Saccharomyces cerevisiae S288C: one gene and its partners. Changing the gene in region 1 together with any one later gene gives a genetic interaction. Each region holds a gene or a part of one and is shown in the gene's direction. Other genes may lie near its edges.

Evidence for each region.
Region 2: mutations in PGI1 (region 1) and ATP15 together harm fitness less than expected from each alone (positive genetic interaction), as found in Saccharomyces cerevisiae (one large-scale study listed by BioGRID).
Region 3: mutations in PGI1 (region 1) and CUL3 together harm fitness more than expected from each alone (negative genetic interaction), as found in Saccharomyces cerevisiae (one large-scale study listed by BioGRID).

Annotation. Positions count from the first base shown.
Region 1 is NC_001134.8:610,483-616,609, reverse strand, and holds PGI1 (glucose-6-phosphate isomerase), read left to right. Parts: upstream 1-2,709; coding exon 2,710-4,374; downstream 4,375-6,127. Other genes in the region: TAF5 (chromatin modification protein), read left to right, coding at 1-483; YBR197C (uncharacterized protein), read left to right, coding at 754-1,407; YBR196C-B (uncharacterized protein), read left to right, coding at 1,980-2,084; YBR196C-A (uncharacterized protein), read left to right, coding at 2,437-2,586; MSI1 (Msi1p), read left to right, coding at 4,728-5,996. UniProt on the Saccharomyces cerevisiae protein: In the cytoplasm, catalyzes the conversion of glucose-6-phosphate to fructose-6-phosphate, the second step in glycolysis, and the reverse reaction during gluconeogenesis.
Region 2 is NC_001148.4:26,971-30,767, forward strand, and holds ATP15 (F1F0 ATP synthase subunit epsilon), read left to right. Parts: upstream 1-3,108; coding exon 3,109-3,297; downstream 3,298-3,797. Other genes in the region: PBI1 (Pbi1p), read right to left, coding at 1-1,194; ATP-binding cassette permease MDL2, read left to right, coding at 3,512-3,797. UniProt on the Saccharomyces cerevisiae protein: Mitochondrial membrane ATP synthase (F(1)F(0) ATP synthase or Complex V) produces ATP from ADP in the presence of a proton gradient across the membrane which is generated by electron transport complexes of the respiratory chain.
Region 3 is NC_001139.9:497,292-502,866, forward strand, and holds CUL3 (cullin CUL3), read left to right. Parts: upstream 1-2,840; coding exon 2,841-5,075; downstream 5,076-5,575. Other genes in the region: EFM5 (protein-lysine N-methyltransferase), read right to left, coding at 1-74, 168-646, 709-743; SWC4 (Swc4p), read right to left, coding at 1,185-2,615. UniProt on the Saccharomyces cerevisiae protein: As part of the CRL3 E3 ubiquitin ligase complex; polyubiquitylates monoubiquitylated RNA polymerase II subunit RPO21 to trigger its proteolysis; plays a role in global genomic repair.

The DNA of each region.
Region 1 (6,127 bases):
TCTACAGGCGACTCGGTTAGGTTATTTCTTGGACATACTGCGCCCGTCATTTCTATTGCTGTTTGTCCAGATGGTAGGTGGTTGTCCACTGGTAGCGAAGATGGTATTATTAATGTATGGGATATTGGTACCGGCAAAAGGTTGAAACAAATGCGTGGCCATGGTAAGAATGCCATTTATTCCTTATCATATAGCAAAGAGGGAAACGTACTTATTAGTGGAGGTGCCGATCATACAGTCCGTGTATGGGATTTGAAAAAGGCCACTACTGAGCCAAGCGCAGAACCAGATGAGCCATTCATTGGATACTTGGGTGACGTTACTGCATCTATAAACCAAGATATAAAAGAATATGGTCGCAGAAGAACAGTAATACCTACAAGCGATTTAGTAGCGTCGTTCTACACCAAAAAGACGCCTGTTTTTAAGGTCAAGTTCAGCAGAAGCAATTTAGCCCTTGCAGGAGGTGCTTTCAGGCCATAATTCACACTGAAAAAAATAACAGCATGGAAGTGATATGTAATAAGTATAACCTAATCCGATATGTAACTATTAGATGCTTTTTCGACATCGTACTTGACCTGCTCGGCGGTTATCATAGCGTCTTCTTTAGCCTTTTTTTTTTCGCTCAGTCATCGGGGCCAAAACAAGAAAGGCGAAGAACAGAAAAATGAAAAATGTAACTGGTTGTTGTAAAAACCTTCCAGAGAAATAAGATGAAATGTATGTTGCTGGCACGAACGAAGACAAATAATGGGAGTGAAGCAAACCCCACCAGTCCAGGTGAAAGTAAGCGACGCGGATTCCACCAACAGAAGGAAATCTAGTAGCCAGGAAGGAAACCCTCAGCTGGTTCAATTAAAGGCAAAGAGCGACAAAGATAAAAGAAAGGGATCTTCAGATTCCACTGCCTCTATAATGGGCAGTTCCAACGCACTTCCGACCAAAAACCTAACCACGCCTCCAGCACTAAACCCCTTAACGACCAGCATTAGTAGGGGTAATACTGCATACGAAAGAAGCGTAAATGGTAGCCGTATAACAATGCACTCAAACCTGGCACCTACGGAGACGCAAGACGTATCATGGTCTGAAATCGATACACTGGATGATGTGAAGAAGATGGCGAAAGAACCTATCGTCAACGACGGGTTCCCACGAGATTTTGAGAGCAATCTCACGCAAATGCGCAAGTCGCACGCTCAACTACTGCGATTAATGAGGGAAAGAAATCAGCGACTAAAGTATGCCAAGCTGAGGAGCCCTCCTCATAAGGATCAGCATAATTCTGCCACGAATAAAGATCAAGAACCAGACGAGGTATTGCATGACCCGGAAATCGCACTTGACGGTGAGAAGTACGTGAGCCAAGTTGTCGATACTATTAAAGATGTTCACCGATGCTGATGACATGTATGGGTTGAAAATATTTAGAGGATGCTAAAAGTCCCGTCTAAAATAGAGGAAGTCATGGATTACATTATCACCTTTATTGTCCTGTTCCGTCTGGCTAATTTGGGACGAGGAACGTTTGTCTCCATTCGCAACCTTTTGAAACCATATGAACGGCGGCTAATCTGACAGATGTCTTATATTTCTAGGATTGTAGAAAGCCTCCTCATCAAACCACCTTGTTTGAAAAAGGCACTAGTGCGGTTGCTTTACTTGATCTAGTATTCTCCTACCTTGGAGCGGTCCCATATCAACTAAATTCAGTTTTCTGACTGAGTTAAAAACTAATGTAGCGACACCACTTCCATTGGTGCCTCCGTTATTTTTTTTTTGTATGTTAATGCTAAATAATACACCGCTATGTATTTCAGGGCACTACTTCTACACATCAACGGTACTAAACATTTCGCTCAAGATCGGTCCGCTTTCACGTATTTGGATGCTATGCAATGTTGACTATTCTTAGTGGATAACATGCGGCATTTCCTGGCGGCTATTTGCATCGCTATGTAAGTGGCAATGTTCGGATGTGGGTAGTACTTTCAAAAGAAAAAATATTACTGAAGAAGGCATACTACGCCAAGACTATTTTATTCTCAGCACTTGTCCTACGTGGGGTTAGAGGCGAGTAAGACTTTGGCCCCGCTGCGGAAGCAAAGAGAATTTTGCCATCGGACATGCTACCTTACGCTTATATCTCTCATTGGAATATCGTTTTCTGATTAAAACACGGAAGTAAGAACTTAATTCGTTTTTCGTTGAACTATGTTGTGCCAGCGTAACATTAAAAAAGAGTGTACAAGGCCACGTTCTGTCACCGTCAGAAAAATATGTCAATGAGGCAAGAACCGGGATGGTAACAAAAATCACGATCTGGGTGGGTGTGGGTGTATTGGATTATAGGAAGCCACGCGCTCAACCTGGAATTACAGGAAGCTGGTAATTTTTTGGGTTTGCAATCATCACCATCTGCACGTTGTTATAATGTCCCGTGTCTATATATATCCATTGACGGTATTCTATTTTTTTGCTATTGAAATGAGCGTTTTTTGTTACTACAATTGGTTTTACAGACGGAATTTTCCCTATTTGTTTCGTCCCATTTTTCCTTTTCTCATTGTTCTCATATCTTAAAAAGGTCCTTTCTTCATAATCAATGCTTTCTTTTACTTAATATTTTACTTGCATTCAGTGAATTTTAATACATATTCCTCTAGTCTTGCAAAATCGATTTAGAATCAAGATACCAGCCTAAAAATGTCCAATAACTCATTCACTAACTTCAAACTGGCCACTGAATTGCCAGCCTGGTCTAAGTTGCAAAAAATTTATGAATCTCAAGGTAAGACTTTGTCTGTCAAGCAAGAATTCCAAAAAGATGCCAAGCGTTTTGAAAAATTGAACAAGACTTTCACCAACTATGATGGTTCCAAAATCTTGTTCGACTACTCAAAGAACTTGGTCAACGATGAAATCATTGCTGCATTGATTGAACTGGCCAAGGAGGCTAACGTCACCGGTTTGAGAGATGCTATGTTCAAAGGTGAACACATCAACTCCACTGAAGATCGTGCTGTCTACCACGTCGCATTGAGAAACAGAGCTAACAAGCCAATGTACGTTGATGGTGTCAACGTTGCTCCAGAAGTCGACTCTGTCTTGAAGCACATGAAGGAGTTCTCTGAACAAGTTCGTTCTGGTGAATGGAAGGGTTATACCGGTAAGAAGATCACCGATGTTGTTAACATCGGTATTGGTGGTTCCGATTTGGGTCCAGTCATGGTCACTGAGGCTTTGAAGCACTACGCTGGTGTCTTGGATGTCCACTTCGTTTCCAACATTGACGGTACTCACATTGCTGAAACCTTGAAGGTTGTTGACCCAGAAACTACTTTGTTTTTGATTGCTTCCAAGACTTTCACTACCGCTGAAACTATCACTAACGCTAACACTGCCAAGAACTGGTTCTTGTCGAAGACAGGTAATGATCCATCTCACATTGCTAAGCATTTCGCTGCTTTGTCCACTAACGAAACCGAAGTTGCCAAGTTCGGTATTGACACCAAAAACATGTTTGGTTTCGAAAGTTGGGTCGGTGGTCGTTACTCTGTCTGGTCGGCTATTGGTTTGTCTGTTGCCTTGTACATTGGCTATGACAACTTTGAGGCTTTCTTGAAGGGTGCTGAAGCCGTCGACAACCACTTCACCCAAACCCCATTGGAAGACAACATTCCATTGTTGGGTGGTTTGTTGTCTGTCTGGTACAACAACTTCTTTGGTGCTCAAACCCATTTGGTTGCTCCATTCGACCAATACTTGCACAGATTCCCAGCCTACTTGCAACAATTGTCAATGGAATCTAACGGTAAGTCTGTTACCAGAGGTAACGTGTTTACTGACTACTCTACTGGTTCTATCTTGTTTGGTGAACCAGCTACCAACGCTCAACACTCTTTCTTCCAATTGGTTCACCAAGGTACCAAGTTGATTCCATCTGATTTCATCTTAGCTGCTCAATCTCATAACCCAATTGAGAACAAATTACATCAAAAGATGTTGGCTTCAAACTTCTTTGCTCAAGCTGAAGCTTTAATGGTTGGTAAGGATGAAGAACAAGTTAAGGCTGAAGGTGCCACTGGTGGTTTGGTCCCACACAAGGTCTTCTCAGGTAACAGACCAACTACCTCTATCTTGGCTCAAAAGATTACTCCAGCTACTTTGGGTGCTTTGATTGCCTACTACGAACATGTTACTTTCACTGAAGGTGCCATTTGGAATATCAACTCTTTCGACCAATGGGGTGTTGAATTGGGTAAAGTCTTGGCTAAAGTCATCGGCAAGGAATTGGACAACTCCTCCACCATTTCTACCCACGATGCTTCTACCAACGGTTTAATCAATCAATTCAAGGAATGGATGTGAACAAATCGCTCTTAAATATATACCTAAAGAACATTAAAGCTATATTATAAGCAAAGATACGTAAATTTTGCTTATATTATTATACACATATCATATTTCTATATTTTTAAGATTTGGTTATATAATGTACGTAATGCAAAGGAAATAAATTTTATACATTATTGAACAGCGTCCAAGTAACTACATTATGTGCACTAATAGTTTAGCGTCGTGAAGACTTTATTGTGTCGCGAAAAGTAAAAATTTTAAAAATTAGAGCACCTTGAACTTGCGAAAAAGGTTCTCATCAACTGTTTAAAAGGAGGATATCAGGTCCTATTTCTGACAAACAATATACAAATTTAGTTTCAAAGATGAATCAGTGCGCGAAGGACATAACTCATGAAGCCTCCAGTATACCCATCGATTTGCAAGAAAGATACTCGCACTGGAAGAAAAACACTAAACTACTTTATGATTACCTAAACACGAATTCAACAAAGTGGCCGTCCTTAACGTGCCAGTTCTTTCCTGATTTAGATACCACTTCGGATGAGCATCGCATCTTGTTATCCTCATTTACATCTTCCCAAAAACCTGAAGATGAGACCATATATATTAGCAAAATATCCACGTTGGGTCATATAAAATGGTCATCTTTAAATAATTTCGACATGGACGAAATGGAATTCAAACCGGAGAACTCGACAAGGTTTCCCTCCAAACACTTAGTAAATGACATCAGTATTTTCTTCCCAAACGGGGAATGCAATAGGGCAAGATATTTGCCTCAAAATCCAGATATTATAGCCGGCGCCTCTTCAGATGGTGCAATCTACATATTCGATAGAACAAAACACGGCTCTACTAGAATAAGACAGTCCAAAATTTCACATCCCTTTGAGACAAAGCTGTTTGGTTCACATGGTGTTATTCAAGACGTGGAGGCAATGGATACTTCTTCGGCAGATATAAATGAGGCGACTTCTTTAGCCTGGAACTTGCAGCAGGAGGCCCTTTTACTTTCTTCTCACTCCAACGGCCAAGTTCAAGTTTGGGACATTAAACAATATTCGCATGAGAACCCTATAATAGATTTACCCTTAGTGTCAATAAACAGCGACGGAACAGCGGTGAATGATGTAACTTGGATGCCAACACACGATTCCCTCTTTGCTGCTTGTACTGAAGGAAATGCGGTCTCCCTATTAGATCTGAGGACTAAGAAAGAGAAGCTCCAGAGTAACCGTGAAAAACACGATGGTGGAGTAAACTCCTGTAGATTTAACTATAAGAACTCTTTAATTCTAGCATCTGCAGATTCAAATGGGAGGCTAAATTTATGGGATATTAGAAACATGAACAAAAGCCCAATCGCTACCATGGAGCACGGTACTTCCGTTTCAACTTTAGAATGGAGTCCAAATTTCGATACTGTATTGGCAACGGCTGGCCAAGAAGATGGGTTAGTCAAGCTATGGGATACCTCCTGCGAAGAAACTATATTTACCCATGGTGGTCATATGCTCGGTGTGAACGACATTTCGTGGGACGCTCATGACCCTTGGTTAATGTGCAGTGTGGCAAATGATAATTCAGTTCACATATGGAAACCTGCAGGAAACCTTGTTGGACATTCGTGACCTAAACGTTCCTTGAAGCCAGGCATGCTAATGGCTCCTGTCCCTATTACATATTCAACCATTTGATAGACGAATATACAAACATAAATAGAGTTTATAAAATATGCTCAAGACTTGCTACAATAAACACT
Region 2 (3,797 bases), on another chromosome or scaffold:
TTTATTAAATTGATATTCCATCAATCTTTCATTAAACTCATCATCATTATCCTCGTTATCGTTACTGTTGGTCAAAAATTCGTTGGCGGAAAGTTCGTCATCAATTAGAGAAAGTGGACATTCGACCCTTAGTTCTTTGAAGAAGAGACCCAATGACCCACCTAAGCCTAAGTGGTTTCTTAAATTTATGGGAATAGTAAATACTATTGTACCGCTGAAATCCTTAACGAGAGGTTTTAAACATATCATTGCAATACCACAGATGAAACTTCTTAGACATATATGCTCTTGATTAACGATTGACTTTAAATAGTTAAACCTTTGGTTGTTTACTATCCCAAATACTGTTGTCCCGCATAATGAGGTGTGCGCATTTAGAATATCATTATACTTTTTCAGCTGTGTTGCAGATACTGACGAGCTGAGGGAAGTTTGATTGGTTAAATAGCCGAAAGGTCTTTTTAAAGTGTTATAGTATATTGATTTGAAAAATGACTGAGTTTGCTTGTGGAAGATTTGTGGTGTCATAGCGGGCAGGTGTAATTTTGCGCTATCATATATCGATTTGGGAAATTTTAATTCTGAGAGATTGATGTCATTGACATCAAACAAAATCCTATCTTCAGAGTGTGTTACTGTGCTGATTTCGTTTAACTCTTTTAAAAATAATTTGTGAAAGTTAGCTGCTGAAAATATATCAAACAATACGTCGTGACCATGAAAAACCAATAGCGCTTCGTCAATTACATATAGTGTCCATAAAGGTTTATTTGATCCGGGAACAAATCTAGTCTTGTTGAAGGCATGACGCAAGAGATAAGGAGGTGGAACACCCCAATGGCAATTGACCTCCTTATCTTTTATGGTTTCAAACTCAATCACATTAACAATATCGGAAGTTTTCAGCTGCTTCAATGGCTCGAATTCCCATTCTTCGTTTACAGTTGCAAACAATGCCGGTTGCGATTTAATCAATCTCTTCAAAGTTGTTGCTATTAGGGGCAGAGTCAGACGAGAATCATCTTTGGAAGAATTTGTTCCGAGCGTGACTTCATCAGAATGCCAGTCAGCGTCATTTTCTCTACTTAAAGATTTTGAATATGTACTCGAAAAAATAGTTCCATTTCTTTGGTCATTCAAAGATTGAGTGAGAATTTTTTTTTCAAAACTTGATAGTGGCCTAAACGTAGTCATTATGATAAAGTGAGGATGTGTCTGTGTTGTGAGTTACAAATGCACTTCTTTGGACAGGTATAACAAGGATAACGTATACACCCTTTTATATATGACCGTCCCCCCATACAAATTTGTGCTCGTATGCCGAGTGTGATCTACTCATCGCTTCGTTAATGAATCGTTTAGCCAAGAATATAGTAAACGTGTAGCAGAGTCATACCCCTGATGGCTGCAGACGCAGGGAATACTCAGCCTCGAAACAGTTTTCAATTTATGTGCGTATGCATGGCTATAATCTTCTATTTCTGTCACCTTTCGTTTATTCTAAACGAATTTGCGACGTTCAACGAAAGCGCGTTGAAAAAATTAATCTCTGAAGTTAAACGGTCGGAAAACAGACAAAAAAGTTGTTGTTATTACTTGTAGAGGAAAGAGCTATTTCATAGCTCGTTTGGGAATGCAGGGGTGACGTCCTTCTTCGGGTGTGTTGTCCTAACTTTCCTTAAACACATTGGGCTATCATACCAGTGAAAAAGAAACATACAATGGTCAGATTCGCTTTATTTGGCTACGAGAATGTGGCGGCTAAGTTCCCTCAACAACTATTCCACCAATCTTGATGGCTTTTCTAAGGCTCTAAGTAGACGTTAAGGTGGCTAAGATTCTAAAATTTTGCCATTTTTCGAGGTTGTGCTTCGCCCTATCCCTTGGAAAACATTTCTAATCATCTTAAATTCTGTGATTGAGAACGTTTTAACGTTATCTTAAACGTTTCCATAGAAGAACGAACGTGAAGGTTTGTAGCTCGTTAAAAGGCGATCTTGAATGATGTGAAGAAGTGTAAAAGGCTTAGGAAAGTTGCTTGTTGACCCGGTGTCGTTCAATATACTCCTATTACCCAAATGGCAGTTTCATAGAGTGATATTATTTCGTTGCCTTGTGTAAGTTAGAAGTACTTCTTGTCGATTGTGAATTCGGATAGCCGCTAGAACGCCAATCATTGCGGAGGTTTGCCATCGCATGGATACCATAGCCATCTGCACATTCTAATATAGATTATATTACTTTAGACCATGTCATTTCATAATCGTTGGTTTAAGCGGTGTTGTTTCCACAGTTTGTATGAGAACTTTTGTCCAAAGTAAAGTATCAGTAACGTAATCTGAGCAAACCTACATTAAATCGTAACTCCGCGAGATTCTTTTGTTCAGGTGGATCAGCGGCGTGGTTTACTTCCGATTTGCTCATCGTGCGCATAGCAGCATTTATTCCTCTAATTCGCTCGATAATCAACCTTTCCGCACTACGACGGTGGCAATAGTTGGACCTTAAGATATGCCTATCTGAATACAATTCTTCAACTCACATCAGTGGGACACTAAATAAAGCATATGGTATGAAATACTATGAATTATTGAATTATTGGCAGACACAGCAGCGACAAGTCAGAGTGCTTACAAAAAAAAAAGAGTTGATCCGGCTAAAGAAAGTCTGATTTACGTATTTATCCAGGTTCAAACGGATTGCCAAAAATAGTCGATAACCTCGGAGTAAGCAAAGCAACAATATATTTGTTCTTCGAAAAGGTAAACTTCTTAACTTCTATAGAAGCATTGTACTAGTTCTCTCGAAGAAAAAAACTAAGAAAGCTATAGCTGTATCTTACCAAGCCATGAACTTGAGGAATTGGTAATCCTTATTAGGAAATACGCTAAACTAGGTAATAGCAGATGATTTACTAGCTTACTATCTCACACTAAGTCTGGCAACGCGCTTATTTTTTAATACTTTTATACGAACCAATGAAATTTGATCCTCCCCTTTTTCGTCTAGTTAAATGAAGAGATACAAGTAGGCCTTTCTATTGAGTACTTAGCAAGATATGTATTTCTAAGAAACATCAACAGTTTCAGCCCACAACCGATTCATAAAATGTCTGCCTGGAGGAAAGCTGGTATATCATATGCTGCATATTTGAATGTGGCCGCTCAGGCTATCCGTTCTTCATTGAAAACTGAATTACAAACCGCTAGTGTTCTTAACAGATCGCAAACAGATGCTTTTTATACCCAATATAAAAATGGCACTGCAGCTTCTGAACCCACTCCAATAACAAAATAGTTTAACGCTTCCTGGGAACTGCAGCTCTTTTTTTACTCGCTGATATACATTTTAAATATTCTAGCAACTGTGTATGAAAACTTACGTACTTTTATACGGGAAACTAATAATGACTACAATGATATTGAATACTGGCCGCTTCGAAGAGTGGTATAAAGTTTGTATCATTGCATTAAAAGAAAAAGAAATATATGTCCCATCATCGCCAATCGCAATGTTGAATGGTCGTTTACCACTTTTGCGGCTGGGCATATGCAGAAACATGCTGTCCCGTCCCCGACTGGCTAAACTGCCATCTATAAGGTTTCGGTCTTTGGTCACCCCTTCTTCATCGCAGCTCATTCCTCTCAGTCGGTTGTGTTTAAGGTCACCTGCAGTTGGAAAATCACTAATTTTACAAAGTTTTAGATGTAATTCATCCAAAACAGTTCCAGAAACTTCTCTGCCTTCAGCCTCTCCCATATCTAAAGGATCAGCAAGGTCGGCACATGCAAAGGAGC
Region 3 (5,575 bases), on another chromosome or scaffold:
GCGGTGCTTAAAAACTCCTTTCTTAGTTTTAGAGTTGTCATTTGGCGCTAATAAACACTTTGCAGTGATAGAGGCTATTTTATATCAATGAATAACAGTTAGTAAGATGAAAAGATACTGGAAAAAAGATTAAAAAATGAGTAGGGATATGTTTATGATATACATACACTTTGTTTGACAATCTTCATTTAAAAAAGGTGGGTCAATTAACAATCTATCAACTTTTCCTTTAATTTCATCACTGAAGTCCAGTGGTTTATTGTAATCATAAAAAAAGAAATGATCTCTTCCAGCTAACAACTCGAATCTCTTATCAAATTCGAACAAGTAGATATGTTCGGTTGGAATTTCATTAGTAGGTTTCTTTTGAATGGCAGCATAGACGGATGGCGCACTAACTATTGCAATTACAGTGTTTTCGTCCGCACCTTCCAATATGGCATCTGCTAAAATTGCGGCTGTGTCATCGCTGTACCAAAACTGGGAAAGCTGCCAATCTTCCTTGAAAAGCTTCATCCCTTCTTCTTTTTTTTTCTTTTGGAAGTCTTCATCCGTTTCGTCGTAAAGCTTTTGAAAGGCTTCTTGATGTTGTTGTTCCTCTCTTTTGAATTCTTCAAGGGCAGCGAGGGCATTAGCAGAAAGTGTCCTATTAAGTTTCGTGTTAGTTAGTAATTCTACGTTACTGTGTTGAAAATATCCTGTACTTACAATTCATAATCGGAGTCGGAGTCGGAGTCGGACATTTTATCAGTGATTCTTTCGGTTTCATTAAGATGTAAAGTGACTGATTAGTATATTAGTCAAGATTAATATTTTTTTTTTTAGTTCCTCCAGTTCAAAAAAATTTTGTTAGATTTAACCGGCATAAGGTTCAGCGATACAGACGAAAAAAGAAGCCTCTAAATGAATGGGAAATTATATATACATGTATATTATGCAGTTGATATTCTATGAGATGACAATACTAAACTATATACCTATATACATTGCCCATCTTGGATTTTGCTGCCTTACAGATGACAATATAAGTTATTTAGAGATTGAGGGTTACTAGTGCATAATATTTGCGTGATTTCCGAAAGTACCTCTGAAGGTCCCATGTTGTACACCAAATATTATAAAACAGTCTATTTTACGCAAAAATTTTAATCACATACGTGCTAGCAAAAAGCATTTTCTGATGTTCACTTGGTGATTGACATACCAGCTTCGTATTTGTCAACGTGTTTTTTTAAATCGATAAGCGTATTGATTTTTTTCAAAAGCTCCTCTTGTCTTTCCATTACATCAAATGAGGGCATCACAGGGCGAGAAGGTAACGATAATTCTTGAAGAATGGCGAGAATTTTGTTCTGCAGCGCAGGTTTGAAGGTCGATAATTTTGTAGATCTTAAGTATACACCCGGCGATAGCTTCTCACCATGCGTAATCACACCTAAAGCCTTCCTTTCATCTGAATTGAAATCTTTCAGCAATTGTTCTGCATATGCGCTTTCTGACTTTCTTTTGAGCGCCGTTTGCATTTCCTGTCTTTGTCTTTTGGTTTTCTTGGGGGAGAGATTTTCCTTGACTTCTGACTTTTTTACATTCAGTTGTTGAAGTTGCCTATGTTGGGCAAACTGCTGTTGCTGCTTCATCCAAGGATTTTCAGGGATGTTCAAATCGTGCTTCCGCTTTCTAGTTTTATCTGCTAGAAGCGCGTTATATAACTGAGACATTCCCTGAGAGGTAAGGTATTGTGTAATTGTCTGATCTGAATGTGGCGAGTCCAACAGTCGGAGTAATGATTCTCTTTCTGCAAGTGTTCTCTTGGCAGCCATTTCAAATTTTTTGGACTCTACTACGAGTGCCTCTTCTTCAGCAATTTCTGCTGCAGAACGAGAAAGAAGACGCTGTAAATACTTTTTTCTCTCTATCTCCTTTTCAGCTGAAAAATTCAAAGAAGATAAAAGCGGATTGCTAGGATCACTTGCTTTAAAATAATTCCTACAGGTGTAATAAAATTTTTCTTTGAGATCTTCAAGTGTTCTTGAATTATTATAACTGTATCTGTCAAAGATCAGGAACCAACGTAAATCGTATTTTTTGCAGAGATTGAACAGGTATTCTATTTCTTCAAAAGACCAGCTATTTTTACTTTCATCCTTCTTTTCATTAGTAAAGTTTTCGTTATGGTTTTTTTCACTTTCTACGCTTTTTTGAGTTCCTTCGTTTTCATTCATAAAAGCCTCGTACTCCTCCTTGGTGAATGATGGAATAGATAAATGCTGATTGAACTTAGAATATGGCGATTCTTTTGGTGTGTCTCCTATTAATTCTTTGGAACCCTTGACCCAATGACGCAGAGTCACAGAGTTATTAGCTTTGAACTCTACAAATGACCAAGGAGATGGCTTGGACGTCGAAAGCATTTTTTCTTTAAAGTTATTTCCAGACTTAATAACAACGGGGGGTTGGTTCTCTCCTAGCAGGTTAAATAGTTCTCTTTGCATGCCCGTCACTTGAGGCTTGGGCCGGTTGGCTGCCGAGGACGAAGGCACTGATACCTGGCCATTAGTTGGACTTCTGGATTTTTGCTTAATGTTTAGTACATCAAAGATGTCTGATGATGACATATTACCTGTGGTTTTTTTACTAAATTTTCGTATTATCGGAGAAATATGTTATGAATGCTTGTTGCTATTAAAATACAAAGTGGATTCTTGATTTATCACTAAATAGCTACCCGGAGTTGGCGCATCGCAACTTCATTAAATAAGTTCGAGTGTGCGTATTCTAATCTGATTCATATAAAGTATACTCTAAACGGGCTAACTCAAATCTGAAATTAGGGCTACTATATGATAACTAATAAGAAAATAAAGATAAGTGTCCCAGAAAAACTCGGTTTGTCAGAAGAATCTTTTGAGGAATCCTGGGAAACAGTTAAATATGCCATTGATCATATATACAGCGATGACATGGCCGACCTTTCCTTCGAACAAGTGTACAAGACCATTTATACTATCGTTTTAAATAAAAAGGGGCCAATACTTTATAACAGATTGAAAGATTATTTAATCCAAAAATTAGCGCTTTTGAGGGAAACGATAGTCAAGGACAATACTCATGATTATGAGTTTCTTGGAACTATGGCACGGTTATGGGAGGTGCAATGCCATTGTTTTAAAATAACGGGAGACTTAATGATGTATATGGACAAAGTTTATTGCAAACCAAATAGATGCATGGAGGTATACGACATGTGCCTCGATCTTTTCCGAATCGAAATATTGCAAAAATGCTCATCTTCTCTCATCTCAGCACTGATATCTGATATAGAAAGGATTCGTAATTTAGGATCTGTCGACTCCGAACATACTAGTTTGTGGAAAGTACTAATAGGAATGATGGAGACATTACATGACAATAGAGATAGTTTTTTCTTAACCGATTTTGAGCCGGTTTTGATTAGCGCGACAGAAGAATACTACAATAAAGCTATTGATATTGAATTATTAACGCCAATTGAGAGCCTGGAAAAGATTAGGAAGTTAAGGCAGTTTGAAAGTATGCTAGACTCCTCTTTTCTAAATGTGGATTCTCATAATAAGTTGAAGACTGTATTAGAAAATGTCCTTATATGGGGAAAGTTGAGTGATATTATTGAAGATCTAACGCACGAAGCAATGGTAATTTCAAATGGAAAGCTACTCCAAGAAATTTATGACTTGTCAAGCGAGGAAAAATATCGCGTTACTGTCATTGAATCTATTAAATCTTACATCAATAAAAATGCCATAAATATTCCTTTTAATGAAGGTAACCGCAAAAAAGGGCAGAATGCGATTACTTGGTCTTCGGAAATTGTAGAGCTATATCGCAGTCAACACTCGTTTTTGGAAAGTATTGATTTTGGTTCTGTTCGTCTTAATAATTTGACCGGGGATGTATCTAATGCAATACTTGGCGATGTTTTCTCAATGTATTTCTCTAAAGAAGGAGCATTACCATCTGAGTATCTTTCTACCTACGTGGACCATTGTATGAAACGAACCAAGGAAAAAGATGCTGAAATAGTGAAGATCAAGCAAGATTTGCTTGATAGTACCAAATTAATCGGACTCCTAACTGAGAAGGATATATTTGAAAAGATTTACAAAAAACAACTCTCCAGAAGATTACTGCAGCAGAGGTCTTTAGTGGAAATTGAAAAATGGATGGTGCAAATGATAAAGAAGGTTCTAGGAACTTTTTTTACCTCAAAATTGGAGATAATGCTGCGAGATATATCTTTATCCTCTGAAATGTATCAAGCATTCCAACACTCAACAATCAACAGCATAGAATATTTGAGTTTTGCACCACAAGTTTTGACGAGAACGAGCTGGCCCTTTCAGAGTACTAATCCAATTGATGAAGGTATTTCACTACCTCCTAGAATGTCACAAATTTTAGCTGGCTTTGAGGGCTATTACAGCTTAAAATACAAAGAAAGAGTGCTAAAGTGGGCTCATCATCTAAGTGTAATTGAAATTGGCTGCCAATTTAATAGCGGTTACTACGAAATAAGTTTTTCTGTTTACGCTGGAGTGATTTTCCTTCTATTTGAAGATTATGAAGAATTAACGTTGGGGGAAATATATGAACTAACTCATATTCCCATAGATGACGTTAAGTCTCTTGTAATGTCAATGTCGACAATACCCAGATGTAAGATTTTGAAAAAATCATCCAGTTCAGGAAATATGAAATTTTCAGTTAATTATTTCTTTTCTTCTCCAAACAGGAAAGTGAAAGTGCCGGTTATTGCATGCCCTCTACCATCTCAGAAATCAGATAATTTGGCAACCGCAAGTTCCGTGGACACTTATGATAATGAAATTGTTATGGAGCTTAGTGCTATTATTGTTCGTATCATGAAAACAGAAGGTAAGCTAAGCCATCAGCAATTACTTGAAAGAACTACGAAACGGACACAGTCTCGGCTCAGTCTTACACCGAGCATTTTGAAACGAAGCATTCAGCTTTTAATAGAGAAAGAATACATCCAGAGAAACGCAGATGACCCCTCTTATTACCATTACCTTTCCTAATTGCTTATAATGAAAATCACAGGTATAAGGTTTGCAGAATGCCAACAGTATATATAGATGGCAGTTCCTATCCGGCTGCCAGAGCGAACAATATTAAGAGGATATGCGTCGATACTAATTGAATGTTCATCCTGCATTCCTTAGTGAAACTTTCAAAATATATAATAACATAGTTATGGTAGACTATATATCCCAGTCAAACTTGAATGTAATGTGGAGTGGGTAATCGATATCTCTTGAAGTTTATTATGCCTCATTATATTTTTATAAAAAACTTCTAGGAATTTGTTGAGTCAAATAATTTCTTTCTTAATCATTAAGTAAGTTAAAGTTACGAGCCTTTCAGACCTGCGTAGCACTGCTTCAAAGGAACTATTATCAATAGCAGCGCCTTGCTCTTTTTTTTTTTTCAGATGCTTAGCGGCCGTATTTCACTTTTCCTGGTAGAAAAATATATGTTGAAATTTACGGTATAAGAGAAGCTCACCAAAATTATTATC